3 linked regions of the Elephas maximus indicus genome follow. The protein of the gene in region 1 purifies or fractionates together with the protein of each later gene. This does not show direct contact. Links are inferred from orthologs where the notes say so. Each region holds a gene or a part of one and is shown on either strand. Other genes may lie near its edges.

Region 1 (10,074 bases):
TGCAGCAGCACACTGACAGGGAACTGCTAGAAATTTAAGCCAAATTCAGAAGAGGAAGTGGGACAAGGGATATTATTGCTGACGTCAGATGGATCTTGGCTGAAAGCAGGGAATAACAAAAAGATGTTTACTTGTGTCTTACTGACTGCAAAGGAATTTGTGTGTATCATAACAAAGCACAGATAACACTGAGAAGAATAAGAATTCCAGGACACTTAATTGTGCTCATTAGAACCTGTACATAGACTGAGAGGCAGTTATTAAAACAGAACAAGGGGATAATGCAGGTTTAAAATGAGGAAGGTTGTGCATCAGGGTTGCATCCTTTCACCGTACTTAATTTAATCTATATGATGAGCAAATAATCCAAGAAGCTGGACCATACGAAGAAGAAAGAAGCATGAGGACTGGAGGAAGACTCATTAACAACCTATGATATGCAGATAACACAACCTTGCTTACTCAAAGTGAAGAGGACTTGAAGCACTTACCAATGAAAATCAAAGATTACACAGCCTTCAGTGAGGTTTATACCTTAACATTAAAAAAAAAACTCACAACTGGACCAATAAGCAATATCATGATAAACAGAGATAACACTGAAGTTGTCAAGGATTTCATTTTACTTGGATCTACAATCAATGCCCATGGAAGCAGCAGTCAAGAAATCAAATGACATATTATGTCGGGGAAATCTGGTGCAAAAGGCCTCTTTAAAGTGTTAAAAAGCAAAGATGTCACCTTGAGGACTAAGGTACGCCTGACACAAGCCATGGTATTTGCAATTGCCTCAGATTCATGTGAAAGCTGGACAATGAATAAGGAAGACTAAAGAAGAACTGATCCACTTGAATACTGATGCCGAAGAATACTGAATATACCATGGACTGCCAGAAGAATGAACAAATCTGTCTTAGAAGAAGTACAGCTACAATGCTCCTTCAAAGTGAGGGCCATGAGACTTCATCTTGCTTACTTTGGACATGTTATCAGGAGGGACCATTCCCTGGAGGACAACATGCTTGGTAAAGCAGAAGGTCAGCAAAAAAGATGAAGACAATGAGACGGACTGGACCAGTGGCTGCAACAATGAGTAACGATTATGAGGATGGTACAGGACCAGGCAGTGTTTCTTTCTGTTGTGTGTGGGATCACTATGAGTTGGAACCAACTTGATGGCACCTAACACCACCACCATACAGGAAAGAAAAAAAAGTTTATCACCTGAGAAGTCTTTGTAACTATTTTTATCTTTGAAAGAAACTAAATCAGGAGCATATTTACAACCACACTTACAACTCAGGTAGCTACTAATTTATTGAGAGGAACTTAAAGTAGCCAGCAAGCTGTCAAAGATTTCAGTGTTATATTCTGGGTTCCAAATCCATTAATACTTTAGTATAATTGGATGTTTTCAGCTGGATCTTGCCTTTTATGTTTATTTTAGAAAAAGAGCTGAACTGTAGCTGATCTTCTACAGTCAATGGCCAGAAACAATGACCTGTGTTTATAAAACTGTATACAACTTGTGTGTATAAGCCTAAGTACCAATGTTATCTTGTCTTCCTCCCCCTAAACAAAAATCCTCCAAATACAAAACCAAAAAGTTAAAGCCAGGCTTTAAAACTAGGTTTGTCTTCCTCTAAAGCCACTGACGTAAAAAAAAAAAAAATTTGAGGTAGGAAACATGAATTCTTGTTAACCTAAGATAGGGTAACTTATTTATCCACTTGATGCTTTGGTACCACAAATTTGGTACCAGCAATTTTATAACAGTTCTCTCTCAGGGTGAACTGTAGACAAAAGTACAGGTGCAAAAACAATTGAAGGCAAAGTTAAAGCAGTATAAAAAAAAGTTGGGGGAAAGCTAGTAAAGTTGGACAGCGTGTGTATGTGTGTGTGTGTGTGTGTGTATGGAGAGTGGTAAATAGAGGGGATGTAAGAAATAGTCAAGTACAAAGAAATAACACAAGGAGATACCACTACACACCCACCAAGGTGGCTAAAATAAAGACACCACCACCAAATTTGGTGAAGATGCACAACAGGAACTCTCAGACATTGTCAATGAAGGTGTAACTTGGTCTCAGCCACTTTGGAAATGGGTCTGGCAGTCCCCATTCAAAAAAAGCTAAACCCTTTGCAGTCTTGTCAATTCCAACTCATAGCGACCCTACAGGACACAGCAGAACTGCCCCATAGGGTTTCCAAAGTGTGGCTGGTGGATTTGAACTGCCAACCCCTTGATTAGCAGCTAAGCTCTTACTCACTGAGCCACCAGGGCTCCCCAATCCAGCAATTCCGCCCCTAGGTATTTACTCCCCAAAATGAAAACATATGTCCACAAAAAAAGACATGTACTAAAATGTTCACAGTTTATTTATAATATCCAAAACCTGTAAATATCCCAGGTGAGCATCTGCAGTAGAATGAGTAAGCAAATCGTAATACACTCATATACAGAAACAGCACCCAGGATAGGTGCAGGACAATGGGACAAGTACCTCACTTTACTTGGACATCCTGACTCCTTCTGGGGAAAGCATATTTCTTATTTGGGATATTTTTTCTTTTTAAATTCCAACTTTTACTGCAGGAAATTGTTTTCCTTTGGGTGCTTTGGCCAATGACTGTGTCAAAGCCATGCTAACATTTTTATCCCTAAACTGTTACCAGCTACAGACTGCTGAAGACAGAGGGCTTCTCTTCCAGTGTGATTTTGATCGTGACCATTTTCAAAGCACGTGAACTGGGATTGGTTGCTGGGTTGGGCCACCATGAACTCATACATCCACCACAGAGAAATACTAACACTTGGTTCCAAGAGGAGCCTGCAATACGTCATCAGTCGTTCAAGTTTGTCATTCACGGGAATCCAGGACAGCAAAGAGCTGAACAAGACCTGCTGTCTGAACAGGGGAACCTGGACCCTGGGATTCTTTTGCGCTTGCATTCCTTACTTCTACGGATGAACTGTGAGCATGATTTTTGCAAAGTGAATTGTAGGTGTGCGCCCCATGACACCTGCCTGCCCAAGAAGTGTTCCATGTGTAAATGCTGGCATGACTGGCTTCAGTGCTTTGCTCAGACATTTTTACCTGGTTGTGATAATCATGTGATAGATGAGCACCTCATGGCTTCCAGGACTCCAGAATTAATGTCATCTGCATGCACCACTCTTATGCTAGTTGGCATCTGCCTTTCTACACAGTTCTACTACTAAACATTTGCCTTTTCCTGGAAATACAAGTTTAGGTCTCATGGAAATTTCATGGCCAGTAAAGGCTGCTGCTCTAATGTTGTTAACTGACAGATGATCACTTGCTAGTTGCCTTGAAATGATGAATACACTTAAATAATGGATCCCTAACACTTCCTTAATGTGCCAACTACTTCTATCCTCTGCTTTGCTCTCCCTCCCAAAAAGCTGCATTTTCAAAAAAGTTGGCCATATCTACATTCTGTCCAAATCCTGTTCCTTGATACATCTAACTCTAAAAAGAGGTTCATATCAATGTTTTCTTTTAAACATATGAACTCTATCTTTAGATAATCTTAAGATGGAACTGATGATAAAGTTTTGAGGTCAGTCAGAATCAATAAAGAGTATCTTTGGAACAGGAAAGAAAGCATCTTTAATGGGAGGGAGGGGGAATGAGTGCTGGCGTAATAGAAATACGTGTGTACCAGGGAAAGAGGGTGGAAAAGAGAGAGCAAACAATAGACAAAGAAGAGTGGGAAAAATAAGACTGATTACTCGATTGATTAGGTAGCTAGAGAAGCAAGTTAAAACGCTAAATTAAAGGGCAAGTTTCCATCTTCTATAGAAAGTGATATAAGACAAGCTCTGTAAGACATGCCCCTTTTTCCTCAAGGTATTATAAAGAGAATGAAGCGTCCTAAGGAAAAAACTGTATGTAAATTTCCCCAACAAGATTGGTAATTTATATTTTGTCCACACAAGCCAAGTATTTTATCCGTTGTAGAAGGGAAACTGTTCACAATAAACTAGGTAATAAAACCATATATGCTGTAAAGCCCATTTTTAAAATATGTTGTGTATATGTCACTATGAGTTGAAATCAACTTGATGGCAATGGTTTTTTTAATATGTTTATGCACATTAAAAATTGGAAATAATATTGACCAAAAAAAGAAATACAACTCCAGGATAAAAAGGAATAAACTAATGTTTCATGCAACATGGATGAACCTCAAAAACATTATGGTAACTGAAAGATGCCTTAAACAAAAGAGTACATAATGTATTATATATATTATCCCATTGATATGAATGAGGTTCTAGAATGGGCTAAACTGATAGTGCAAAAAAAACAAAAGAAAACCAGGACGGTGGTTTCCTGTTGTTGTTGTTGTGCGCTGTCAAGTCAGTTCCGACTCATAGCAACGCTATAGTACAGAGTAGAACTGCCCCATAGGGTTTCCTAGGCTGGAATCTTCACGGGGGCAGATCACCAAGTCCTTTCTCCTGATGGGTTTGAACTAGCAACCTTTTGATTAGCAGCTGACCACTTAACCACTGTGTCACCAAAGCTCCTTTGGTTGCTTCTACTCCTTAAAAAGCCCATTGCTGTCGAGTCGATTCCACCTCATGGCAGCCCTAATGGACAGAGTAGAACTGCCCCATAGGGTTTTTAAGGAGCTGCTAGCGTGTTCAAACTGCTGACTTTTTGGTTAGCAGCTGAGCTCTTAACCACTGAGCCACCAGATGGCCTCTAGAGGGATGGAAGGGCCCCTGGGTGGTACAAGTGGTTTGAGCTTGACTGCTAACCTAAAGGTTGGCAGTTCAAACCCACCCAGCTATGCCATGGACTAGAGGCCTGATGATCTGCTTCAGCTGAGAGTTCTACTCTGAAATACACAGGGTTGCCATGAGAAAGAATCAGCTTGATAGCAGTGGGTCAGCTAGGGGGATGCAGGCGGAGATTAGCTGGGAAGGGACATGAAATAACTTTCTGCAGTGATGATAATGTTTTATATCTTGATAGGATTTAGGTTTCCACAGGTGTATATATTTGTCAAAATAGCCAATGTCCACTTAAAACGTGTGCATTTCATTGTATGAAAATTTTACCTCAAAATAAAAATAGCTGCAAACAAATACTGAATTCTAATGAACATATTTTTTGAAGTATTTGGGAAAAGTGAACTGATATCTGCAATTTACCTTAAAATACATAAAAACAGGATAGACAGATGGATAGATACATGACAGGACAATTAAAATAAGACATTTATGGTAGAATCTGGATGGTGGGTATATGGATGTTCACTGTAAAAGTCTTTCAACTTTCTGTATGTTTAAAAATTTTTGTTATACAGTGTTGAAAAAATACAGTGAACTGACACCATTATGAAAATGAACACATACTTGACAAAGGACTTGTACTTAGAATATACAAAAAAATAAAGAATCGTACAACTCAGTAATAAAAAGGCGACAGTGAAACTTATTAATAAAAGTTAAAATAAGTTCATAAAAATTTTTGAACAAGTATGTTTATAGTAGCTGTATTCATAACAGCTCCAAACTGGAAACAGCCCAGGTATCCATCGATAAGATAGATTAAAAAACCTGTAGTATAGTCACACAATGGAATATTACTCAACAACAAACAGCGACAAATGACTGATACATTCAACAACATACATGAATCTCAAAATAATTATGCATTATATATTATACATTAATGATATGGATATTGAAGTGTTTAGATGGATTGATGGTATGTGATAAGGCAAATGCAGCAAAATATTAACTACAGAATCTAGGAGTGAAGATATGGGTGTTCACTATACAATTTTTCCAAGTTTTCTATACATTTGAAATTTTTCATAACAAAACACTGGGAAAAAATACAATGAACTTGAGTCCAAATACCTAAAGATTTTTAGATTTGAGAATAAAATAAATCACTTAAGAGTCAAATTCCATTTTATATGAAATTTGGGGGGTTGCATAAATGTTTTTCTTGTACTTGGAGTCTAATCTTGAATGCTGTTTAAAATGAGTGGGGACAGAGTTGAAATTTTACAGTAAAAAAAATTATTTTTAAGTAGTAAGATATAAGAGCAGATGAGGACAAAGGGGGCATTTACAAATGGTATTACTCAGTGTTTTATAAAAAAAAATTATTTTTTATTATACATTAGGCCAAATATTATAAATATTATATTGGTTTTACCAACTAGTTTCAGTGAAATAATTTGTGACTCTAATATGTTTGTTAAAAAAAAAGTTAGTATGTCCATTTTTCAGAAGAACGGGTCTATTTTGGGTAGTATTTTGAAAGTACGACCTACTATGCTACATTAACCAATTATATATTTTTAATCACAGCTCATAACTTATGGTAACCAGCATTTTGTCTTATTCAACCAATTTATTAAAACAGGAAAAAGACAAGTTAGATTTCGTGAAAGGACTGAAACAACTAAGGGAAAGTCAGTGCGAAATTTTGAACATAAACATTCTCTATCAGATTGTAACACAGTTATACTATAGCACGAAAAATCACTGCCACATTTAAAGCAAGTCGTATGTATTTTCTCTTGGTTTTCAGAAACTGCAAACTGCATCATGCAATTTAAACCTATACAAATAATCTAGAGCCACACGATTTCATAGCTAAAATCAGTCTTAAAAAAGACCTAATAACCATTAATGCTAAAAATGGATCCATGGTGCAAGAAAACTTCTATAATAAATGGACAGTAGTTGAAATTCCTGGAATTAAAAACCGCATGTATTTTGAATGCTTGAGATGTACCGAATGTCATCCTCGAGAGTATCCTGTATACATGATGTTAAGGTTTTAGTAATAAAGTCAACAGTATTCTTTTTTAAAAAACGGAATTAAAGCTTTATCAAAGGTACTAGTATATTAATAAAAAACTGGAAAAGTATAAAGTAGAACACATTCCACGAGCATACAAAATGCAGCCTTATTTCATCTTATCTGTTTATACTTTTTCACCGAATTTCCACGGATATTACTATCACACACACACACACACACACACACACACGATGAGAATTTACGTAAGTACCTTATGAGAGAGACATACATAGAAAAAGTTCAACAGGAATACTAAGGAAAGAGCAAATAATTCTGAGTTGGGAACAGACTGAAAATAATAAAGACCTCTCCTAAACTCAATCCAATGCCTGTAGTTTAAAGACACCATTCAAAGCTCATTCACTATCGAGATCTAGCCATACTAGCGGAAACCTCTGAAATTATAACCAATTAAGACTTGCATGCCCACAGTATTTGTTACTACAGGCAGTCCCTGGATTACGAACATCCAATTTACCTACAACCCGTAGTTACAGGCCAACCCCCAGAAGGCCTGTTATACTGAAAATCCAAGGTATGTACAACGGTTCGTAATAACAAATGGGCACTACTTTTCAACACGCATCAAACATTGTTATTATTACTGTATTTTTATGTTAAAGATGTTTTAGTGTATCTGGAAGTGTTTCTTTAATTTTTTTTTTATGCGTAGAAAGGTACACTATATACTAAGACAAACATCTGACTGACGTTGGATACTATTAACTGTTCTGACTTAGGTACATATTTGACTTAGATAGATTTAGGTACAGATGTTGTTAGTAATCCAGGGACTGCCTGTAATGGTGTTTTTAAAGAAATAGTAAAGAAGGAAGAAATTACTTCTAGGTAGTTGCTTTTAATGTAGTGAATTATTACTTTAAAATATTTAGGATGGATATCCTTATCGAATAATTGTTAACCACTGGCCAGGAACTAAATACAAGTTAAAAAACTAACCACAAATGGATAATAAACAAAATGTGGTATATATATATTTTTATTATTAAACAGACATGAAATTGCTCCATAAAACTGCTATGCACGTTTCTAAAAACTCCCCATTTCTGAACTTATCTCCTCAGAAACAGGTAATAAATAGTTCATGGGCCTGCAACGTCTGCCATACTACACTCTGAATATCTCTGTGTTAGAGACTGCTGTAAATATTTTAGAAGAAAACACTGAGTTTACTACTTAAATTTAGAGTTACTGCTTTTAGCTGGGGCCTGAAAAGTATACTGACCCTCTTTCTCAACTAGAAAATGTATATACATTTTCCTTATTTACTATATTCAATAGACATTTTTTTCTCTCTCATACTAGGACGGTAAACATTAGTTTAAAAATAATAAAATGACCACAAATTCTAAATTTTGCCTTACTGCATGGCAGTTATTGAAATAATTAAATGAATGTGTCAATTAGTTTGGAGACCAACTATTGTCTATGAAAACAGGCTTTTATAAAATGCTATCAATGGTAAATATATAATCAACTTTGCGACAAACAACTGAAAGATAGTAAATATGTAAAAGACACTGCTTTGTAGAGGATTTATAATATTGTAGAATAAGGAAGGCAAAGAGTTCTACAAGTTAAAGCACCAGGAAAATCTCATACTCTGATGAGGTTGAAAGAATAATGCATTTGTTCAATATATATTTGACTGTCCCTTTTATGCCAGGAAAGAGGAATGCAATGATGAACAAAACATCATTCCTGCCCTAACGGAGCTCTCAGTCTTGGTATTCAATTAATTGTATAATAAATAAATCATATAGTCAATAAAATATACTAATTATATAATAAAAGTCAATATAAAACAAGGACAATAAGTACAATACAGCTTAAGTCCAGAAAGAAGCCCGAGAGCATAACATGCCACCACCTTTCCCAGCTACTTCTTCAGGAACCTGAAGTTTCAAGAATTCACTAGAGGAAAGAATGTAGTAGGGCAGTTGATGGCTAGCTAACTTGATAGATACTTCAGCCCTTTTGGCTGCTGCCCCAACTATTAAAGGGGGCATTAACATTCGAGTAGTCAGAGCCTTCAGCTTCCACTGTTACTGTTTTCACCACACTGCTACCCATCTCTTTAGTAACAATATAATATACAGGGCTGCCCATCTCTTTCATTAGTGTAAAGTCATTACAGCCTAGGTAAGACAGGACCTAAGAATTACCTGCCAAAGATGTACCACTGGTAACTATGAACCTGGACTATTCAGTAACTAGATTAAAAATTATTAGATTATAGCTCAATTGGCATAACAGTTTAAAAAGAAAATGTTCTACGTTCTACTTTGGTAAGTAGCATCTGGGGTCTTAAAAGCCTGTGAACGGTCATGTAGGATACTCTACTGGTCTCACCCTTTTGGGAGCAAGGGAGAATGAAGAAAACTAAAGACACAAGGGAAAGATTAGCCCAAAGGACTAATGGACTACATCTACCACGGCCTCCACCAGACTGAGTCCAGTACAACTAGATGGTGCCTGGCTACCACCACTGACTGCTCTGACAGGGATCACAATAGAGGGTCCCGGACAGAGCTGGAGAAAAACGTAGAACAAAATTCTAACTCAAAAAGAAAGACCAGACTTGTTGACCTGCCAGAGACTGGAGAAACCCTGAGACCATGGCCACCGGGCATCCTTTCAGCTCAGTAATGAAATCACTCCTGAGGTTCACCATTCAGCCAGACTGGACAAGCCCATTAAATAAAAGAAGACTAAAGAGGAACACCAGCCCAGGGACAAGGACTAAAAGGCAGGAGGGGACAGGAAAGCTGGTAACGAGGTTGAGAAGGGAGAGTGTTGACATGTCGTGTGGCTGTTAACCAATGTTATAAAACAATATGTGTACTAACTGATAAGAAACTAGTTTGTTCTATAAACCTTCATCTGAAGAACAATAAAAAAAATTACTAGATTGCAATTGGCTTACAGTCAACACTATAAGCAGTACATAGAAAATAAAACTGACATTAAACATCATATTGTCAGAACTAAGGACATGTTTTCAAAAACTTAAGTACAATTAAAACACAACCCCAAACAGAATTACCTTGTAAATTTAACTTTCACCTCAGAGAACAAGTGTTTGTAAATCACTGCTTTCTTCCTCCTCTGTAACTAAATTCCATTTTAAAATAGATCTACTGAGACTATAATCTAAATAGGAGTCCTCATTCACTAACTTTAAGACATATGG
Region 2 (10,173 bases), on another chromosome or scaffold:
TCTAAATAATCCCTCAGGCCAAAAGTGAAGCAATACTGAGAAATCAGAAACTACATAACGTAAGGCTTATGAGCCACCAGTTACGTACACACACTGCAAAAGAACCTAAGAAAATCAAACACACTCGGGGGCAGGCGTCTATTTAGTGTTTCGAAGAGGAAAATCAGCAAAGACAACAGCCACTGCTGAAACAACCGACTCAAATACGGAAACCGACACTGCAATAACTACAGCTTCCACAGAGAAGTCCACTCTGGATGTGCAGCTTCATTACTGGTACCCAACTCAACATTTCCGTGGTTGTCCTTTTATTCTTTGTTTAGGGAATCATGGTGATGCTATTAATACCACCCACAAATAAACTCAATTTTAAAACTGAGGTAGCTCTGAGTGCCCCTTATACTTATAAAGAAGGAATTTGGGAGTGAGACAGGTGTGACAAACAAAGATGAAAAAAGCTGAAGAGTATAAGTAAGTTAGAAAGCCTCTAAAGAGCAGTTACGTGTAGAAGAGACAGAAATATTTGAAATCTACTAAGGATACTGACAGCTAAAGAAGGAATTTAATAATTTCGGAATACTTGTAGCCCTTCTCTAAGTACAAAAAGGAGGCCTGGTGGCACATTGGTTAGAGTGCTTGGCTGTCAACCAAAAGGTCAGTGGCTTGATCCTACCAGCCACTCGAGCAGGAGAAAAGACCTGGCAATCCTCTTCTGTAAAGATTTACAGCCTTGGAAACCTATGGGGCATTTCTACTCTGTCCTATAGGGTTGCTATGAGTTGGAATCGACTCACAGGCAGTGGGTTTGGTTTTGGATTTTAAGTACAAAGCTATCTTCGGCAGATTTTATATCATTTTCAGATCAAGCATAAATTTCTGTGCCAGATTACTCCTAGGAGCATTACAATTTCTCCATTCATCTATAACACAAGAACAACAATACAACAAAGAGAAAACTTTATTTTTAGACTTGGAAAATCCTGTGTTTATTTTTCTAAAACAGAAAAAGTCAAACAACTGAACCTACTCTGTTTGGATTTTAGTAAACCTATATTCTTTTCTAATCCTGAGGCCCAACCTCTGCCAGAAGGAAATGAAGAAAAAGTGCTCTGTGCCACGCTGGAAAGTTACAACACCATGCCTCCCTGGGCCTTCTCCTCCAGCACATCCGAGCCTCCTGCTGGTCAAGGCTCTCACTGCCGGAATCATATCATATGACACCTGCCTTATGGTGGGTAGAGGCAGAGGCTGTCAAATGGCATTCGTGTCCAAACTGGTTCAGCGTTTAAACTACTAACTTCTGCGTGTAGTGTTTAAGCAAAGGCGCTTAACCACAAGTACACTCTTAATTACTCAACTAGCATTAAACACTAAATGGAAAGGGGTTTGTAATCCCCTATAAACATTAAGCCTTTACAAAACCCCGTTCCACAATTTGATTTTTCAATAACTTGGTCTCCACACAGGCCATCTCTTTTAGTTGGAAAAATATGAGTTATACTTAAAATGCAGGAAAGCCCTTCCTATAATGTGAATGTGCAGAGATCTGGGTAGAGGTAATAATAAGCAGTTATTTCTGTTCTCAACAATTTCTCAGGTAAGTTTCTATTTTTTTCCCCATTAAATTTTTTTTTAATTGATCGGCCATAATTAACGATATGTTACTGCAAGCAGAAAGAAGCCCTGTGATTAATCCTATCACTTAAATTAAACCGAGATTTTATTCATTAGTTCAGAAAACTGGCCAACTTAAAATAATTTTTTCAAAAGACAAAGCCTGCAATTTAACCCTAAAAATTAACAAGATAAGAATGTAAATTGGTTATAAACTCTGGTCTAAACTCTATGGAAACACGTACATTCAGCTTTTACGGACTAGCCCTACATATGGAGGACAGAGGGATGACTAAGCCCCTGGAGGAGCTCATGGCTGGTCAGGGAAGGTGATCCAGAGCTAAAAGTTTGCAGCATGAGGCTTGTCTACACAACTAAGTATTTAACAAACTCTTACTCAGAATTCAAATCCAGCTCTAATATGACCTCTTCTTATAAATTTCACTGCTTCCTTATGTCTCCTAGCAATCACTCCCTTCTTTGTGCTCTCCCAGTGCTTACTCATCATCCTACAGAATTATTTGCAGATATCTCCTAATCAACTCATTAAATCCTTGAGGGCAGGGACCATTTTTGTTAATTTCCATACTGCTTTTTTAGCAGCTAGCATAGTGCTTGGGACATAGTACTCCACTACCAATGAGTTGATTCTAACTGATGGCAACCCCAAGCGTTACAGAGTAGAGCTGCTCCATATGGTTTTCTTGGTTGTAATCTTTGTGGAGGCAGGTTGCCAGGCCTTTCTTCCACAGTGCTGCTGGGTGCATCTGAACTGCCAACCTTTAGGTTAGTGGTGGAGCACAAACCATTTGTGCAATCCAGGGACCTTTGTGACATAGTAAGCATTCAGATTTTGTTTAGTAAATACAAACTACGGGATGGCACGTAAAAAGGTATGTAAAAAAGGGGGCAGAAGAGGCCACACTACTTTGCCTTTTACCTAGAGAGAAGTGTAAGGCTTCTCAAGGGATATTCATCCTGGTCTTGGAAGCTGAGTGAGACTCCCTGGACAAAGACGGGCACTTACTGAATAGCCTGTGCGAAGGCAGCAGGGGACGGAAGACCAGATGTGTTGGAGGATAGCAAAGTACTCTGAGTACAGCCGATGTAAGCAGACTATGGGAGAGGGGATGCAGGCTGAGGGCAGGAAATAAAGCTGGAAAGATGAAGGGGCTTATACACCAGGTTAAAGGAGTTTTCACTGAATACTCAAGGCTTTGAGGAGCTCTTGAAGCCTTTTAATCCATCCTGGCAGTGATGTGAAGACTCATAGCTTGAGAGTGTTTGGCCGAGTTATGAAAAGCCTAGGTTTTCCAAGGATTTTAGCTACAGATACCTATTACAGCTTTTTTATCCCAGATTACTGTCCCACCCTTTGTTTTCATAAATATATTTCAGTGTAAGCAGTTACTCTAAACTGTATTCAAGTGGCATCACGAGCTACGTATTTAATTGTATAAGCAGCTTTGGGAAAAGGCTATTATTTAAACGCAAAATACGTTCCATTCACCCAGTAGCAGGTGATAAAGACTAATAATTTAAACACCTAATGAAATTCTTTTATCTGTTTTGATTTTTAAAAAGGTGGGGGGAGAAGAATTTTTTAAAGCGCAAGGCAGAAAAGACATTTAAGTTAAATATCCTGAATTCCTTTTTCATCACTGTGCTGAAACATTAAGATTATGGGAAAGCAGCACCCCATCCCAGAGCCAATAAGGTTAGTATCTGAGGGCTCACTTTACCTAGGGGCTTCCCTAAGTGGGTTTAACAACTCTTAAACAGGAAGATCCCATACGGAGAAGGTTCTAAATCAAAGGTCAACACAAATCTCCTGGCCCTTCACGTGCCTGCCCAAGGAAAAGTAACGCCACAGCTTCTTGCTTTTCGACTTTCCCAGGTTTTTAAAAATGTAAGATAAAGCGATTTTTGTGAGCCGACTAGAAGGCACCGACACACTCAGGTTTCTCGGTTGCAGCTCGGCCCTGGACCAGAGAAAAGCATCGGCCCGGTGCAGGGAAAGAGGCAGAGTCCGCTTTCCCCGGGCAGCCGGGCTGGGCGGCAGGCGGCGCGCCCGGCACTGAGGAGGGCGGGTACCCCGGCGCGCAGGGCTTCATGGAGAGTAGGGCTGCAACGCGGACGCGGAGAGGCGGCTGTCACACAGTGAGGCCAGCATCCTCCCCAGGCTCGACAAACAGCCCGGGCCTCCGCGGCTTCTACAGGGCCCCGTTCCCCACGGCGAAAGGGTAGTGACGAGAGGCAGAGGCGCGAAGCTTGTAGAGCAGAAGCGCGGCTGCGCCCGCAGAGTCCCCCAGGACGCGGCTCCCGAGGCGCGGCGCAGGGGCGCTGGCAGCCCAGGGCGGCGCCCCCGCAACCCCACCCCACCCACGGCTGCCTGCCCGCGTGGCCCCCCACCGAGGACTGTGACCCCGGGGCGCCAGGGTGGTAGGAGATGCGGCGGCGTTGCCGGGTCCCCAGCTCCGCCACCCCGGCGATCCCGGAGATAAAAGTTTGCAGCATGCGGCTCGTCTGCAGTGCGAGTCACATCCGCCGCGCCGCCTCCTGCAGCAGCAGCAGCGCTCAGAGAACGAACAAATGAATTGGGGGTGGGGGGGAGAACTGTTGAAGCCGGTAGGCCCCGAAGCCGGTCGCTCGGCCTCCGGGGCGCGCATGCAAGCGAGCCTAGCATCCCGCGCCCCCGCCCACCCCCAGCCGCACCTCCCGCCCGGCCTCTGCGCCCGGCCTGGGCCGGCCCCGCCGCACCCGCTGCACTGACCGATAACCTCCTGCAGCTCGTACGCGTCCCTGCAGATGGGCCAGCCGACGGCCTGCGCCGCCGGGGCCGGGACCGGGGCCGCGGGCGCCGCCGGGGCCGGCGCTGCTGTCGCGGCCGCCGCTGTCACCGGGGCCGCCTGCTGGGGCTGCTGGACGTGCACGGGAGAGCCGCTCGGCTCCGCCATGATGCTGCCGGAGGAGACCGGAGGACGCGTCGGCCGGCGGACGACCTTCCACTTGAAACTTCCCTTCCCTTGTCGCCGACACCTCTCGGCCGGCGCACGCCCTCCCCGCCCGCCGCCGCCGCCGGAGCCAGCCACGAGGGGAGGGAGCGAGGGAGGCCGCGCCGGGCGGAGGGAGGAGGCAGCGCAGGCGGAGGCGGGGAGGGGGGGAGGCGGCGGCCGCCGCGCTCGCCGCGCGCCCCGAGACTCGTGCGCACTGTTCTCTGTCTCTGCGAGGGGAACCGCCGCCCCGCCGCCCTCTCCCGCTCCGGTCGCGGCCGGGGAAGTTTCCACCAAAAGAGAGCAAGGCTGTCTTGTGTTTATTTTCGGGGCCGGCGTCGCTCGCCCTCCACTCCCTGCTTTCTCTGTGCCTTCGCCCCAATCAGTCTCTCCAGAAGACGCCCCCTGGGGACCCCGAGGGCGGAGTCGTTGAACCGTCGCCAGGTTCTCAGATTCAGAAGGCTCCCCCCAACTAAAGAACACCTGAAGTTCATTTACAAGGTAGCGAATGAGACACCCACACTGGCTTTGTTTGTAGGAAGCCAGTTAAAAAATAACCCAAGTTGTAACTTTCCGGTGTTTTTACCTGCCAATATCCCATTCCCACCTTGCCTAATCTAATCGCAGTCTTTCTACTTTTTCTTAGTACGTGCAACAGGATTCCTTAGGCCCCTGGGTGTTCACTGACTCTTTACATTTGTTCAAGCCTGTTGGGTCCCAGGAAGGTGTTGTAAGGGCCTGTGAAGTTAGAATAAGAAATGTGGGAGAGACGTGAACTCTTGCTTTGAAATTCTGTACCTTTAATGACCTGCCAAATTAACCCATTAAGACACTAAGGCCAGATAGCAGGCATTTCTTTTAAAGAGCATGGTTGGTGGAAAAAAAGAATTTACTGCTGTATAAACTGCGTTGAAAAGTTTGGATTAATCGTTGTTTTTAAGACATCCCCAAAATTACCTCATGCTTAAAATTGCTGTTTAACCATAGGTCTTTCTAATTATAGGTGTCATATTTAACATTTTCTCGAATGGCTCTCTGTGTGCTATATATAGTGAAGATGACCAGGATGCACCAGCCTGGCTTTAATCCGAAAGGAAACCGTGAACCAATGGTCATGTTGGTCATTTGGCCAATATTATGTTGTATGGTTCTCATGAAAACGACTACCGAAGAAATGGGTAAGAATTATAAGCGTATATAATGAAGACTCCAAGAAACATTATAAGACTGTATCTCCTGAGTGTATGCTTAAATTTTTCTTGGAAAGGTTATTCAGAAGAAAATCAGGGATTTGTTATGGAGAAAAGTTAATTGTACACTCTAAACTTTGATATAAACTGAAGATAAGTAGACTTCCTATCTTACAGCATTATGGAACAACCGGGACAAAGCGATTACTATGCTCTGGTCTTTGAGCAGAAATTTATGCTGAATTAAGAAAGTACATTCTTTCATGCATGGGTATACAAAAACTATTGATTTTAATGTCTGTCAAGAAACAGACTATAAACAAATAAATTCTAGGCATCTGATGTTTTAAAGGGGGAGCTCTGTATACCAGGAAACCCTGGTGGTATAGTGGTTAAGAGCTGTGGCTGCTAACCAAAAAGTTGCCAGCTCAAACCTACCAGCCACTCCTTGGAAACCCTATGGGGCAGTTCTACTCTGTCCTATAGGGTCGCTACGAGTCTGAATCAACTTGAAGGCAACCAGTACGGTTTGGTTCTCTATACCAAGCCACATCTATTCACCTCTTCAAGTGCTGCTGCCCCATCCCCACCCTCAAAGAACTGCTAAGGACTATTTTTAAAGGAAAACGATTAAATCAATATGACTTCCATTTTGTCACAAGAATTTACTACTTGACTCTCAAACCACAAAATTGGGCCGTGAAGGCCAGGATAGTTCTTGGGTCTGTCAGTTTGTCATACTGTGGTAGCTCAGGTGTTTCTATGACAGTCGAAGCTATGCCACAAATGTCTCAAATACCAGCACGGTCATCCATAGTGGACAGGTTTCAGCCGAACTTCCAGACTAAAACAAATTAGGAAGAAAAGCCTGGATATCTACTTCTGAAAATTAACCAATGAAAACTCTACTGATCACAACAAAATATTGTTCAGTAGAGTGGTGGAAGACAAGCTCCCTAGGTTGAAAGACACTCAAAATACACAGTGACTGCAGCAGTGGACTCAAGCATACCAACGATCTTGACGAGGTCTCAAGACTGGGCAACGTTTTGCTCTGTTGTACACTTGAGTCAGAAGGAACTCAGCTGCAACTAACTAATAGGAAAACATGATGCTGTTAAGATCAATAGCATGGATTTAAATCACACACACAAAAAAGCAACAACTATTCCAGAGTCTCGGACCAGACCTCTATCCCCAGCTGTCCTCCTTCCAAACAGATGATTCAGTGCAGACCAGTCACTTCCACCAGTAAATCAGTTTAAAGAAGATTGTCCACTCTCAGAGTTCTTTGATGTATTTATACATGAAGAACAGAGCATGAATTATATTTTTTAAATTACATGAAAGCATTAGATTCAATTTCTAAGTTAACGTTTCCATAAACAATTGAGTAAAGTTTTATTTAAAATCTAGAAATACATGTATTTAAAGTATTCAACTGATAGGCAATTTTCCTTGAGAATCCATTACTAAGTTTAAACTGAAAGGGGGAGGGAGGATTTTAAAATATAAATAAGGTTTATTCTGGTATACAAAGACACTCAGTCTCACAGACTTTAAAGCGTAGAAACGAAAAATAAGGATCTAAAATTTTTTTAATTGTTTACAACTGCCATCATTATGCCAGGGTTCTTCAACTTCAGCACATTGATATTTTGTGCCAAATAATTCTTTGTTGTGGAGGTATGTCCTGGGCATTGTAAGAGCTTTAGCAGCACCCTTGGCCTCTACACACTTAGATGTCAGTAGCACCCTCCATTCCCAGTCATGACAATCCAATATGTCCCCAAACCAAAAACAAAACCCATTGCCGTCAATACTAACTCTTAGCGACCGTTTAGGGCAGAGTAGAACTGCCCCGCAGCTTTCCAAGGAGTGCCTGGTGGATATGAGCTGCCAACCTTTTGGTTAGTAAACATAGCACTTAACCACTACGCCACCAGGGTTTCCTAAATGTCTGCAGATAGTGCCAACTGTCGGGGGCAGGGGAGGGCCAGACCACTGCTTTTGGTAAACTGAATACACAAAATTGTCATTTTAGAAACAGATTTTAGCAGTGATTATTTGCCGTGCAAAGAGCTTCTGTAGGACTCAGTCATTTATTCATAAACCCTTTGAACACCTAAGGGAGGATGTGTTGGGTTGTGTCCCAGGTATTGGAGAAAGACAGTGCTGGATTCAAATCTTGTTTCCAAAATGTGTTTTAACCTCTAACTTTGAACTTGTTACTTAAACTCTTTGAATCTCAATTCCTTTATTCACAAAATCAACTTAATAATAGCTTGCTCTTGGATTGTTTTAACATAATTTATGTACGAATGGCTGAGCGTAATGTCTGACACATAGTAGATACTCAATAAAATAAAAGCCATCATCAATATCATCATCATTGTTATTTGCCAAAATTTGTAACAAAATGCACAGAACAAAGATAAATAATGTTGACAGTAACAGCCTTTACAGAATGTAAGCTTCTGAGGGCAGGAATTTTGGTTCAGTTTGTTCACTGTTGTATCTCAGTGCCTGGAATAACAACGGGAAAGAGTAGCACTCGGTAATATTTGTTGCATGAATATAACATTTTCAAAAGGTATAAAACATGTTTGTAATCATTGAAATGAATCAGCAATTTCAAGGGCAGATTAGATGGGAGGAAACTGGAGGCGGAGAGCCCTGTTTGGAAGCCATTGCAGTAGTCAAGTTAGAGGAATGTGCTTTTGAATGAAGCCATGACGTTGAGGATAAAGATGAGGGAGTAGACTTGAGAATTATTTAAGGAGTTAAAACAATGGAACTCTATGACACATGTGAATCCTTTGAAAGTCAAATTGGTCCAGTGAATTGAGTAAATGTACTCAAATGCAATTTGTAAAGCTTTTTAGAAATATATCTGTTGAAGGAATGGGGACCTTTTGATTGACAGATGATCTTTCTCCCGTGGCTAACCTATAATTACTGCAAAAGTCACTGCCGTTGCATGGTGGGAAATGGCCAAATATTCATGGGTATCAAGAGAATCTGTCACCGCACTTGCTATCACCAACCCTCTCATACCCACGGATCTAGCACCTCTCTTTGAGTGAAAAGTTGTGGAAGAGCTGGATTTTGATTTTAAAGGTTGCTTTTTTTAAAATATAAGAATTGACCATCTTTTTGAAGCAGAGAGATGGCAAAGCATAGTGGAAAGAGCATGGGCTTAAGTCAGCCATACAAACCCACTGCCGTCGATTCCATTGCGACTCATAATGACCCTATAGGACAGAGTAGAACTGCCCCATAGAGTTTCCAAGGAGCACCCTTTGGTTAGCAGCCCTAGCACTTAACCACTACGCAATCAGGGTCTCCAAGTCAGCCATAGCTGGATTTAAATCCCGGCTCTGCACTTACTAGCTGGTGACCTAAACACTCTGAGCCGCTGTTTTTTAAAAGTAGGGACAACCATCCCGAAATTGTAGGATTGTGTAAGGATTACAGGTGCTGGTGTGTGTAACATGCCTAACCCATAGCACACACTGTGGTAGTACAGGGATGGTTCCAGGGTTTCTGACTGAAGGGGTCACAGGTGGCAGTCGCAAGGGAGGGCAGGATTAGGGGACTTGTTCTTCAGCCAGCCGGCAGCATTCACTTCTTAGGCTGTATGATTATCTGGACAGGCTTTGGCAGTGAGCACTGATGGAAATTAGTCACTCCTTTTTTTTTTTTTTGGAACCACCACTGTTACAAACCCTGGACTACAACTTCCTTTTAATTTTTTTTTTTAATTGCAAACATTCAATATCTGAATGAATTCTCAGCAGAAATGTCAAATATCCATCTGATGAATGTAATCAAGAATATACAATCCTGTCCAACCCTGGAGACCAAGCCATCTCACACATAGCATAATGATAGAGGTGTCATGTGCTTTTCCACTATCACAGCCGACACTATCTATTATCCAGAGTCAGGAACCAGTGTGATTCAATTTTATTAGGTTTAACACAATTTAGTGTTAGGTGTCATTAGTGCCTATTTCCCAGCTACAAACTGAAAGAGAGCTTTAAATCTATTTTAAGCTGAATGATTGTGAGGACACTGCTTTTTAAATTCATCACATATGAATTAAGGAATTAAACTTATAAGAACTATAACTTCCAGATATGTGTTTTCATTTATTTTCCTACGAGCTCTTTAAACTGACTTTCTATTGCATTTTATATTACAGACAAAATTGCTCTGGTGATAGTTACTGCCTTTCATTAATCTTGGATGCTTCTGAACATGATTTAAATTCTGATCAAAAGAGGACTCACTGAAAGTCAGTTCTACCATCTCTACCCATAGGGTAAAAAAAAAAAAACAGTTTTATGGAGTCTATCCCAACTCATAGTGAC
Region 3 (10,438 bases), on another chromosome or scaffold:
GCCTGTCTCCTCCCTGCTCCCGTCATGACTCTTATAGACCTTTACTGTAATTATGTGTGTAAACATCCGTGTTGCCCGTGGGCCATAAGTTCTATGAGGGCAGCGGTGCACTCAAAGATCTGATTACATAAATGAACAGATGATGGAGGAAGGGAGAAAGGGATGAATGAACCAATGACTGAACAACCAAAGGGCAGCTGCCTACAGGGTCCCTGCACTGCACAACTCCAGGGCACATGGTTCCCACTGTGCTCTATGTAGAGGGGAACTCCTGCTGGGCCAGGACAGGGAAGGCAGCTGGTCAGAGGGAGAATCTGGCTGGCTGGCACTGGCTTGGGAAAACAGGCAGGACTTTCCTGTGTCCATTCCATCCCCAAGCTTCGGCTGGAGGAGTCTCAGGGAAGGGGAGATCAGAACAGACGGGGGTGCAGTAGACACACCCTTCGCCTCCCTCCCACCACCACACACTCAGATGCACTCAGGGAAACTTCAAGCCCCACACAAACCAAAGTCACGGTGGACTGCAGAATTCAGGAGGAAGATGTGTGTCTCACAGGCCCACTCTCCTTCCCCAGACACCTGCTCAGGCTTGTCTTCTCTGGATGCCACCCAGGGCCCCAGGCGGGGACTGGAACACATGTCCCCCATGTCGCCATCACTGCCATCAGCACAAGAGTGTGCCCTGCTGGCACAGCCAGCCATCTGACCACTAGCAGGATTGCACAGCCTCCGTAATGCCAGGATATCTCCTACCCTGGGTCAAACAGCACCCTCCTCACAATTCCATCCATGCCAGGCTGACACTCAGCCAGCCTGTATTCCATGGGCCAGGAGACAGCAGCCAAGCTGCTGCTGGGAAGGGGCGCTTGCTCACAGGCTGGAGGTGTTCTTTTCAGAGTGGCTCCTCAAGGGCTTCCCACTCAAACCAGTTCCCTGGTACCTCTGAAGGCCTGATGTCCACCTGGGGATTATCTGGCCAAAGTACCCTCCAGCTGCCTTAGGCCAATGGCCTAGACTGATGCTGCCACTATGCCACGCACGGGAAGCAAGAGAAGACTGTATCCTTCCAGTGCCTTCCCCTGGCCGCTCTCCGCTCATATAGCCAAGCCTATGCTGCTCAAAAAAGTTCTGCCGAGCTCAGTTGGCCCAAGTCCCCGATGTACTAAAGATGAGGGACCTCTAAGGTCACACAGGGAGTGACAACCAGGGTGGGGGTGACAGTCAGATGGCAGGGGGTTCCTTTAACCTCACAGGCTACAGAGGATGCTGGCACAAAGGACCAACACACACAAAGCTGTATGTAAGCAAGATGGTTTTGGAGTGCAGAAGGAAGCAGTAGCTGCAGTGGAGATCCCCCCATCCCACCAGGCTCAGGATGGGCATGTCCCCTACCTAACCCAGAGACCCGCAACGTTCTGTGAAACCTAAGGTAAACAATCCACTAATGACACAAACAGTAGGAGGAGGTTTTTCAGGGCCCTGGGGCTCCCTGCCAGAAGGGACCGGGGTGGCCAGTAGCCAGACTCATTGTTGGCGGTGCCTCTAATCCCTCATGACTGTGTTCCAAGGGCCCATAAACCCTGGCCCCCAACCAATTAGTCCAGCATTCCCACCAGCTCGTCCAACCCAGCCACAGCCTGTGCAGATGGTGGCAACGTTCCACCTTCTCTCAGGAAGGCTCCCCAATTCTTGGCTTCCCCAGTTCAAGGTCATCTCATTTCTCAATGACATGCCAGTGAAAACCGGTGCACTGTGGATAGGAGACACGGGTTCCAGCTCCAGGATTGTTAACAACCCACGATGGGACTCTGGGCAGGCCCACCCCGCTCCCTGGGGCTCAAGCTTCCCATCAACACATGTGGTGGAGGTGGTGGGCTCCATCGCTTAGGTCTCTGACTTTCATTTTTGTAATTTTAGGTGCAATGGGGGGTTTACAGAGCCCATCAGAGGTTCTGAGGGAGCCCAGGGTTTTCACTCAAACTGACCAGAAACATTTTCCTCATCAAACTCCTGGTACTTTGCTGAAACTTGTTCAGACTTGACATAAACGTTTCTTGAGAACCTACAGGCTCCAGGTGCTTTTGAGAGACACTAGGAAAACATGAAGCAGTAAGAGAACTGCCCTCAAGCAACTGAGGCATGAAGAGTGTCTCCAAATTTGCTCACAGTGAAACAGCTAGGAATTCAACCCCCAGGATGCCTGATCCAGGCAGATTTCTCTCCCAAGGCTTCAGGCCCAGTAAAGTCTAGCGGTTACTGGGTCTGGAGGTGAAGAAATACTCTGGTGGCACAGTGTTTAAGGGCTCGGCTAACCAAAAGTTTCGCAGTTTGAATTCACCAGCAGCTCCTTGGAAACTGCGGCGCAGCTCTATCCAGTCCTATAGGGTCGCAATGAGTCAGAATTGACTCAATAGCAATGAGTTTGGTTTTATTTATTTATTTATTTTGGAGGTGAAGAAGACCACTGAAACCCCTTCTAGGCACAGGGAAGAGCCAGGACACAGGACTGGATGGCTGAGTTGACCTTGTTCTGAAATACCTGCTTCTGGTATACCTTCTAACAGCTTTCTCAGTCCCAAGCATTGAGCAGACAGGAGATGGCCAGATGGCAACCTCCACAACACACATGCACAGACAGCTCAGTAGCACTGTTCCCTGAGACCACTAGATCCTTCCAAAGTTGCCCTTCTCTTGGTCCTTTTGTACAGACCTGCACCAAACCAGGTTAACTGGACTGCAGTGCAGCGCTAGAGCTGAGGGTTCTGCCCTCCAGGGCCTGCCTCCTCCCAAAGTCCAGCTAGTCAGGTCCCAGCTTGTCTCCCTGCAGCCCCAGATGACAGGCTTTCGGAGGGATGCTCTGGGAGCCACTCCTTCCTACAGGTGTCAGCAGGGTCCACGATCATCAATCTGGTCTTCCCACCTTCGGACCAACCCGGGTTTCGGAGAAGCTGCTTACCCCGGGGAGGCTGCTGGGCAGCAGTGAAGCGGTTTGTTCCCTGTTCCTCTTCCCCCACCACTCCTCCCGGCTCTGGACCGCTGCCACGCTGACCTCCCCTCCCCCAAGAATGGCGGTGAGCTGGGCGGTGGGGGTGGGCAGAATCCACTGATGATCTCCCATCTCCAAAGGGGTGCTGGGAAGCCAAGCAGGGCGTGTCCTGGGCCTTTCTCTGCCCAGCACCAGGCTTCACAGCCTCTCTGTGTGAGGCACCTCTGTACCATCCCCCATATCTGCCGCGCATTGGGAACCCTCATTCTATCGCCCAGACCCCTGAGCCCAAAAGAGGCTAACACACGGCGGTGAAGGGCTGCGGGTCTAGAACCTTCTGTGCCCAGTCGGATGTAAGTCTGGGGAGGTAGGCGCCCTCTTCCCCCATAGCCTGTGTCTGCTCTTTCCACAGGAGGCAAGTGTCTGCCTTTCCTCGCCCCACCCGCTGCGGCCGTCTGGCCCCAGGGCCGGGACGTGCCCTAACGCACGGTTCCGGGCAGGGTCTGCAGGGAACCCCTCCCGCCAGCCAGGTAGGGGGCGGCCAGACCCGACCCCGCCCCGTTCTCCAAAGAGGGGCGTCTGTCTCCCCGCATCCCCGCCCGCGCCCTGCCACCTGCGCTGTCGCCCGCAGCCGGTGCCGCAGTGCGAGCCAGCCAGCGAGCCCGGCGCTTTCACGCCTTGGCCGGCGCCCCCGAGCGAGCCGCCGCCCTCCGGCCTCCCCGCCGCGCCGCACCTGCACTCACTCACACCCCGCGGCGCGCCGCTAGCCCCCCACCGCAGACCCCACCCTCACCCCCACCTCTACGGCCCTAGGGTCTCCTCCGTCCCCATCCTTGGCTCTTCCCCAGCCGGCTCCGCCCGAGCCGGCCCCGATCTCCCCCTCTCCATCCCTCTCCGCCAGGGCCGGGGGCGGGGGTGGGGGTCCCCGAGGGATGGATGATTTCGTAGCAGGGGTCGAGTCGGCGCCAAGCCAAGAGAATAAGCCGGGTACTTACCGCTCTGCTCCCCCAGGAACACCAACTTGAATTTTCTCAGTGGGTTCCCAAAATCTCCCCCTGCGGACATGATGCTGGCAGCCGAGGCCGGGCGAGGAGGAGGAGGAGGAGGAAGAAGCGCAGAAGCAGGGAGGAAAGGAGGAAGGCGAGGGGAGGCGGCCGGCGGTGCGGGAGCCGGAGGGGGAAGGGCTGGCTGCGCGCGTCCCTGACTCCCCAGCTGAGTCCCGGGCCGGGGCTGCGGCTGCGTGTCCGGCGGCAGCTGCGGCGGCGGCAGCGCAGGAAGAGGAGGAGGGACGCTGGGGCTGGGCTGCCGAGGACTGCGCTTGCTGCGGTGCGAGGGGCGCGCACTGGACGCCCGAGGCGCAGCGCGGACAGCGGGGCGCGGGTGGAGCCGGGCGCAGAGACGGCGCGCGGGGCGGAGGAGCGCTCTCCCGAGCGGTGCGAGTCTGCCCTCCTCCTGCCTCCCTCCACCGGCGCCTGCGCTCTGCGCGCTCCCCAGCCTCTGATGTCATGCGGGGCCCGCTGCGCTGCGGGGCCGGGGGGCTTACACCCGCCCACCCGGAGCCGGCAGCCGAGCGGGAGAGAGCCGTCTCGCAGCGTCTGCGAGAGTCCCCCAGATCGGACCGTCTCTTGCTGTCTCTACGCCTGTCTTCTCCATTCTAATTCTTTTTCGAACCCAGAAAAAATGACATGAAATTGTCAGGGGACGTTTGTTTCTGGTCTTTTAAACCCAGATGTCATTCCCCTCCTCCACCTCCCGAGACATCGATGCACGGCGCAGCCGGTCCGAGAGGGCGGAAAGGAAAGGAGGTGGCTTGAGAGCCAGGATGTGGTAGACGTTTGGAGTGGGAAGACGTACCTGGTTCAGATGGGGCTCGATGGGGCTCGACTGTACCTGGTTCAGATGGGGCTCGACTGTCGCCCCCTGTAGCCTCCAGCCCGTCTTCATTGTCTAGGCCCAGACCCTTCATCTCGGTGGCTTCGTGGGGTCCATAGGTGTCCCCGCAGATCTGAACAGTGAGAGAAGAGGCGGTAATATTGGGGGTGCCTACCTCAAATGAATCATTCTTAGGAATAATTTTGTCCTAAATCCGAACTCTTGCCCAACGGGAAAAAAGGAGCAATGACGCCCCAAATGACAGCATGGCCATCTCCAGGACAGTGGTCTGGATTTTTTGACCCTGGGTCCACCAGCCTGACAATGCCACTCCTGCCCTGGCAGTTATGTGCATCTGGGCAATGAGCTCCTGGAGGACAGGACTGAGACCTCCCGGTCGCCTTTATATTTGTTTGGCCCATTGCAGGCACACGAAGTGGGTGTGAATGGGTGAGAAGATTAGATGCCAAAGGCTGGAAGAGCTCCTAAGATAGCCTGATCACAAGGCATTCTGGTTAATTAAGGTTTCACAAAGCCATCTCTTATTGTCCTGCCACCTTGCAGTCTCTTTTATGACTGTTTAGTAAACATTTATTTGGGATTGTAATTCAGATGTCTGGGACCAAGTTTGTGTGTGTGTGCAGGAAGGGAGAGAGAGGAACTGAGATTGAAGTGAGAAGCAAGCTCTCACCTGTGGAGGGGACATTTGATTTACAGGGCATGCTTGGGATTATCTCCTTGTTTTGTTCACCTAGAGTCTCTCGTTGCTAATTAAAAACTTAGACAGCAAGTTCCACAAAAGCAGTGGTTGAGTCTCCAGTTGTAGATGCCAAGGAATTAGCTTAGAGCTTGCACACAGTAAGAGCTTAATAAATAATTGTTGAATGCCGGACAGAATGTCTAAAACCCGAATCAGAACAACTGTTCTATTTCTCATAGTCACCTTTGGTTTGGAGCCCCAGGGTTTGTAGGTCATCACCCTACGATATCTGCCCCGCTGTGCCTGGCGTCGGATCCCTGGCAGCACAGTGGTTAAGGTTTGGCTGCTAACCAAAAGGTCGGTAGTTCAAATCATTGGAAACCCTATCGGGCAGTTCTACTCTGTCCTATAGAGTCACTATGAGTAGGAATTGACTAGATGGCAACGGGTTTGGTTTTTTGGTTTTGGTGCCCAGCATCAGGCTCAGGGTAACTCTCCAAACTCCCAAACCTCTGTTCTGGGTATCCTGCTGTCTCAGGAGATCATGTCCAGCATGAGGCTGAATGAAGCTGTAGAAGGAGGTGAGACTCCCAAGTCACAGTCCATCCCGTGGTACCTCCACAGAAGGGCCAAGGGAATTATTGGTCAAGTCAGTCAACCAGGCAGCGTTCCTCTGACACGCACCATCTGTCTTCCTATACCCTCTCATCCTGTCCTGAGAAAATCATCTGTGGTAAGACAAGGCAGCTGAGATGACTCTGTGCACAATGGAACAAAATCCTGCCCAGGTCCTCATGATCAGCTGTGAACTGGACCATTGTGATCCACAGGGTTTTCACTGGCTGAAGTTTAGAAGTAGATCTCCTAGCCTGTCTTAGTCTGGAAGCTCTGCTGAAACCTGTTCAGCGTCATAGCGACTAGTGAGCCTCCACTGACAGACAGATGGTGGGTGAGCATAAGGTGCACTGACCAGGAACTGAATCTGGGTCCCCAGTATAGAAGGCAAGAATTCTGCCACTAAACCAACCACCGCCCCCCAACAAGACAAGGCTGCTGAGGAGAGACAGAAAGAGCACTGTCTTTTAGGTAAGCTTTGGCATGTTGTGTACCTTCTCTGATCCTTCACACACAAGGTGGTGTGGCAGTAGATGAGAGAGGGGAGGGGTACCAGCATTTCTGGGCACCTCTAGGCCAGAGTCAGCCCATGGGCTTATCCAACCCAGATGGCATGACTATGGGCCAGGATGCATGGTGGGAATCTGTCAGTCATGATTCTTCCAATTCATATGACAAAAGCCCAACTCCAAATACTGAATGCACAGCGGCATGGGCTGGTTCATGCAGCTGGAGCAGATATGTTGCTCACAGAACGTGGGCATTGTGCTGTGGCAGTCGGAGCCTCAGGGACTCCAAGTTTGCTCCGGCCTCCTTTTCCCTCCCCTTGGCCCTTCTCCATCTTTTATCACTGTTTTGTCTCCTTTTGTTTTGGGTCTTGTCTTTTACCTGCTCTAGAACAGACAGGCTTTCTCCGGGCAGCAGAAAATGTGACTACTGTGACACTCAGCTTGGCAACCCCACTGGAGAAAATTCCTTCCACCTCGGCTGCCATGAGTCGGAATTGACTCCACGGCAGTGGGTTTTTTTTTTTTTTTTTGGCATCTTTCTGTTCCATTTTTTAAATTATGTAAAGCTTCCTAGTAAGAGTATGTATGTAAGTGATTTAAAAAAAAAAAAAAAAGGCCTACCTATAACAATGCCCATGTATGCTCCATCCAGCTGGAGAAGTTGAACGGTTACAATATTTTTGAGGCTTCCTTGGATTTCCCTCTACTCTACCTCCTTCCCTTCCTCCCCCAGGCAGAAATGCAGAACCCTGGCTTTTCTCGGAGTTTGATCACATTTGGATGTGTCCTTCAACAATACCTTGTTTTGTATCTTTTGGACTTTATACAAGGTGTCAAGGAGCCCTAGTGGAGCAGTGGTTAAGGTTGGCAGTTTGAATCCACCAGTGGCTCCTTGGAAACCCTATGGGGCAGCTCTACTGTGTCCTATAGGACCTCTATGAGTCAGAATTGACTTGACTCCAATGGGTTTGTTTTTTTTTTAAGGTATCAAACTGTATATTTTCTCTTATGACTTGCTTTTTTCTTAGCATTATATTCCTGGGCATTATGTTAATGCATATAGTAGCAGTTCTTTCACTTTCACTGCTGTTTAGTCTTCCACCGTTTACCCCAGCTTACGCAATCGTTTGCAGTAAATTATGTCCAGTTTTTAAATTTTGAAATAATTTTGGACACACATAGAGGTTGCAAAAATAGTACAAAGAGATCTAGTGTATCCTCACCCAGTTGCCACTGGTAATAAGATCTTACATAACCATAGCAAAACCAGGGATTTCACATGAAAAATGCATCCAGTTTCGTCTCTGCCAATACAAGCAATGCCATTATGAATATCGTTTACATGTTCCCTGATGCACCCGTGAAAAGTTTTTCTAAGCTATGTATCAAGTAGATAAGTCGTGGAGTAGAACCAAGTGTATGTTTAATTTTGTTAGGTAATGCCAAACTTTTCCAAAGAAGCTTGTCAGGTCCTATAGCTCTCCACCCTCACCAGCATTTGGTGTTGTCGCTATTTTTATTTGTTAGCCATTCTGATAGATGTGTAGTGATATCTCATTGTGGTTTGAATTTGCATTCCTCTAATAGCTAATGAGGAGCCCTGGTGGCGCAGTGGTTTAAGAGCTTGGTTGCTAACCAAAAGGTCAGCAGTTTCAACCCACCAGCCGCTCCTTGGAAACCCTGTGGAGCAGCTCTACTCCACAGGTTGCTATGAGTCAGAATTGACTTGACGGCAGTGGGTTTGGTTTGGTTTTTAAAGGCTAATGATAATATCTTTATATGTGCTTATTTGCCGTTTGTATGTCCTCTTTCGTGAAATGTGTTTTGCCCATATTCTAATTGGATTGGTTTTTTTTATTGTTGAGCTTTGAGAATTCTTCATATATTCTAGATACCAGTCCTTTGTCTGATATGTGGTTTGCAAATATTTTCTCCCGCTCTGTAACTTGTTTTTTCATCTTCTTTTCAGAGTCTTTTGCAGTGCAAAAGTTTTAATTTTGATGAAGTCCAATTCATTGATTTTTTTTTCTTTTATGGATTGCGCTTTTGGTGTCATGTCTAAGAATTCTTTACTAAGCCCTTGGTCCTGAGGATTTTTTTCCTAATTTTTTTTTTTATTTTTACATTTTACATTTAGGTTCATGATTCATTTTAAGTTATTTTTGTGGGAAGTATAAGCGTTAGGTGGAGGTGTTCTGTTTTGCCTGTGGATGTTCAGTTGCTTTGGCACCATTTGTTGAAAAGGCTATTTTTTCTCCATTAAACTGCTTTTGCACGTTGGTCAAAAATCAGTTGGGCGTATTTGTGTGGGTCTACTTCTGGTTTCTCTGTTCACTTCCACTGGCCTGTGTGCCGTTTGCCCCACCAATACCAGACAGGCTTGATTTCTGTAGCTATATAAATCTTGAAAGCATGTACATTGATTCCTTCAACTTTGTTCTTCTTGGCATTTCCACATACATTTTAGAATAATCTTGTATATATCTACAAAAAATCTTCCTGAATTTGGTGGGAATTGTGTTAAGCCTGTATATCAATTTGGAGAGAATTGACATCTTTACTATGCTAAGACTCCCAATCCATGAACATGGTTTGTCTCCCAATTTACTGAGATCTTCTTTAATTTCTTTCATCAGTGTTATATAATTTTTAACATGAGAGTCCTGTACATGATTTGTTAGACTAACACTAATGTGTTTCAATTTTTGAGCAGTTGTAGATGATATTGCATCTTAAATTTTGGTGTCCGCATGTTCATTGCTAGCATACAAAAATAATTTTTTTGTACATTTATCTTATATCCTGTGACCTTGCTGAACTCACTTCTTAGTTACAGGATTTTTGGTAGATTCCTTGGGATTTTCTACACAGTCATCAGAAAGTAGGGACAGTTTCATTTCTTCCAGTCTGCATGGCTTTTATTTCCTTTTCTTACCTTTTCACACTGGCTAGAACTTCTAGCACTATGTTGAATAAGAGTGGACATCTTTGCCTTCTTCCTGAAAGTAGGAGGAAAGCATTCAGTCTTTCCCCAACCATTAAGTCTGATGATCACTATAGGTGTTTTATAGATGCTCCTTATCCAGTTGAGGAAGTTCTCCTCTATTCTGATTTTTCTAAGAGTTTTTATCATGTTATGAGTGTTGAATTTTGTCGATACTTTTTCTGCATCAATTTATGAGCATGCGTTTATTCTTCTTTAACTTGTTAATAAAGAAGATTACATTGATTGATTTTGGAATATTGAACCAGCTTTGCATACCTGCGATAAACTCCACCTCGCCATTGTGTATAATTCTTTTTATATACCCTTGAATTCTATTTGCTCATGTTTTGTTAAGAATTTTTCTCGTCTAAATTCATGAGGGATATTGGCCTGTAGTTTTGTTTTTTTTGGTACTGTCTTCCTCTGGTTTTGGTATCAGGGTAATACTAAAAAAGCCCACTGCTGTTGAGATGATTCTAACTGATAGAAACCCTGTACGACAGAGTAGAACTGCCGCATAGGTTTCAAAGACTGTAACCTCTACGGAAGCAGACTGCCACATTTTTCTCCCACGGAGTAAGTGGCTGGTGGGTTTGAACTGCTGACCTTTGGGTCAGCAGCTGAGTACTTAACCACCACACCGTCAGGCCTCCCTGGGGTAATAACTAGCTTCACGAAATGAACTGAGAAATTTTCCCTCTTGTTCTGTTTTCTGGAACAGATTGTGTAGAAATGAAGTTAATTCTCCTTTAAGCGTTTGTTAGAATTCT

The links.
Region 2: the proteins of SLC12A6 (region 1) and STK39 purify together in Homo sapiens (affinity purification with mass spectrometry; 3 studies listed by BioGRID and IntAct, with this or other methods). This does not show direct contact. The link is inferred for Elephas maximus indicus from reciprocal best matches to the Homo sapiens genes SLC12A6 and STK39.
Region 3: the proteins of SLC12A6 (region 1) and RAB6B purify together in Homo sapiens (affinity purification with mass spectrometry; 4 studies listed by BioGRID and IntAct, with this or other methods). This does not show direct contact. The link is inferred for Elephas maximus indicus from reciprocal best matches to the Homo sapiens genes SLC12A6 and RAB6B.

The regions. Positions count from the first base shown.
Region 1 is NC_064828.1:23,952,706-23,962,779, forward strand, and holds the start of SLC12A6 (solute carrier family 12 member 6), read right to left. Parts: upstream 4,025-10,074; 5' UTR 1-4,024.
Region 2 is NC_064824.1:66,433,445-66,443,617, forward strand, and holds the start of STK39 (STE20/SPS1-related proline-alanine-rich protein kinase), read right to left. Parts: upstream 4,673-10,173; 5' UTR 4,572-4,672; coding exon 4,388-4,571; intron 1-4,387. UniProt on the Homo sapiens protein: Effector serine/threonine-protein kinase component of the WNK-SPAK/OSR1 kinase cascade, which is involved in various processes, such as ion transport, response to hypertonic stress and blood pressure.
Region 3 is NC_064844.1:45,849,474-45,859,911, reverse strand, and holds the start of RAB6B (ras-related protein Rab-6B), read right to left. Parts: upstream 4,381-10,438; 5' UTR 4,052-4,380; coding exon 3,982-4,051; intron 1-3,981. UniProt on the Homo sapiens protein: The small GTPases Rab are key regulators of intracellular membrane trafficking, from the formation of transport vesicles to their fusion with membranes. Rabs cycle between active GTP-bound and inactive GDP-bound states.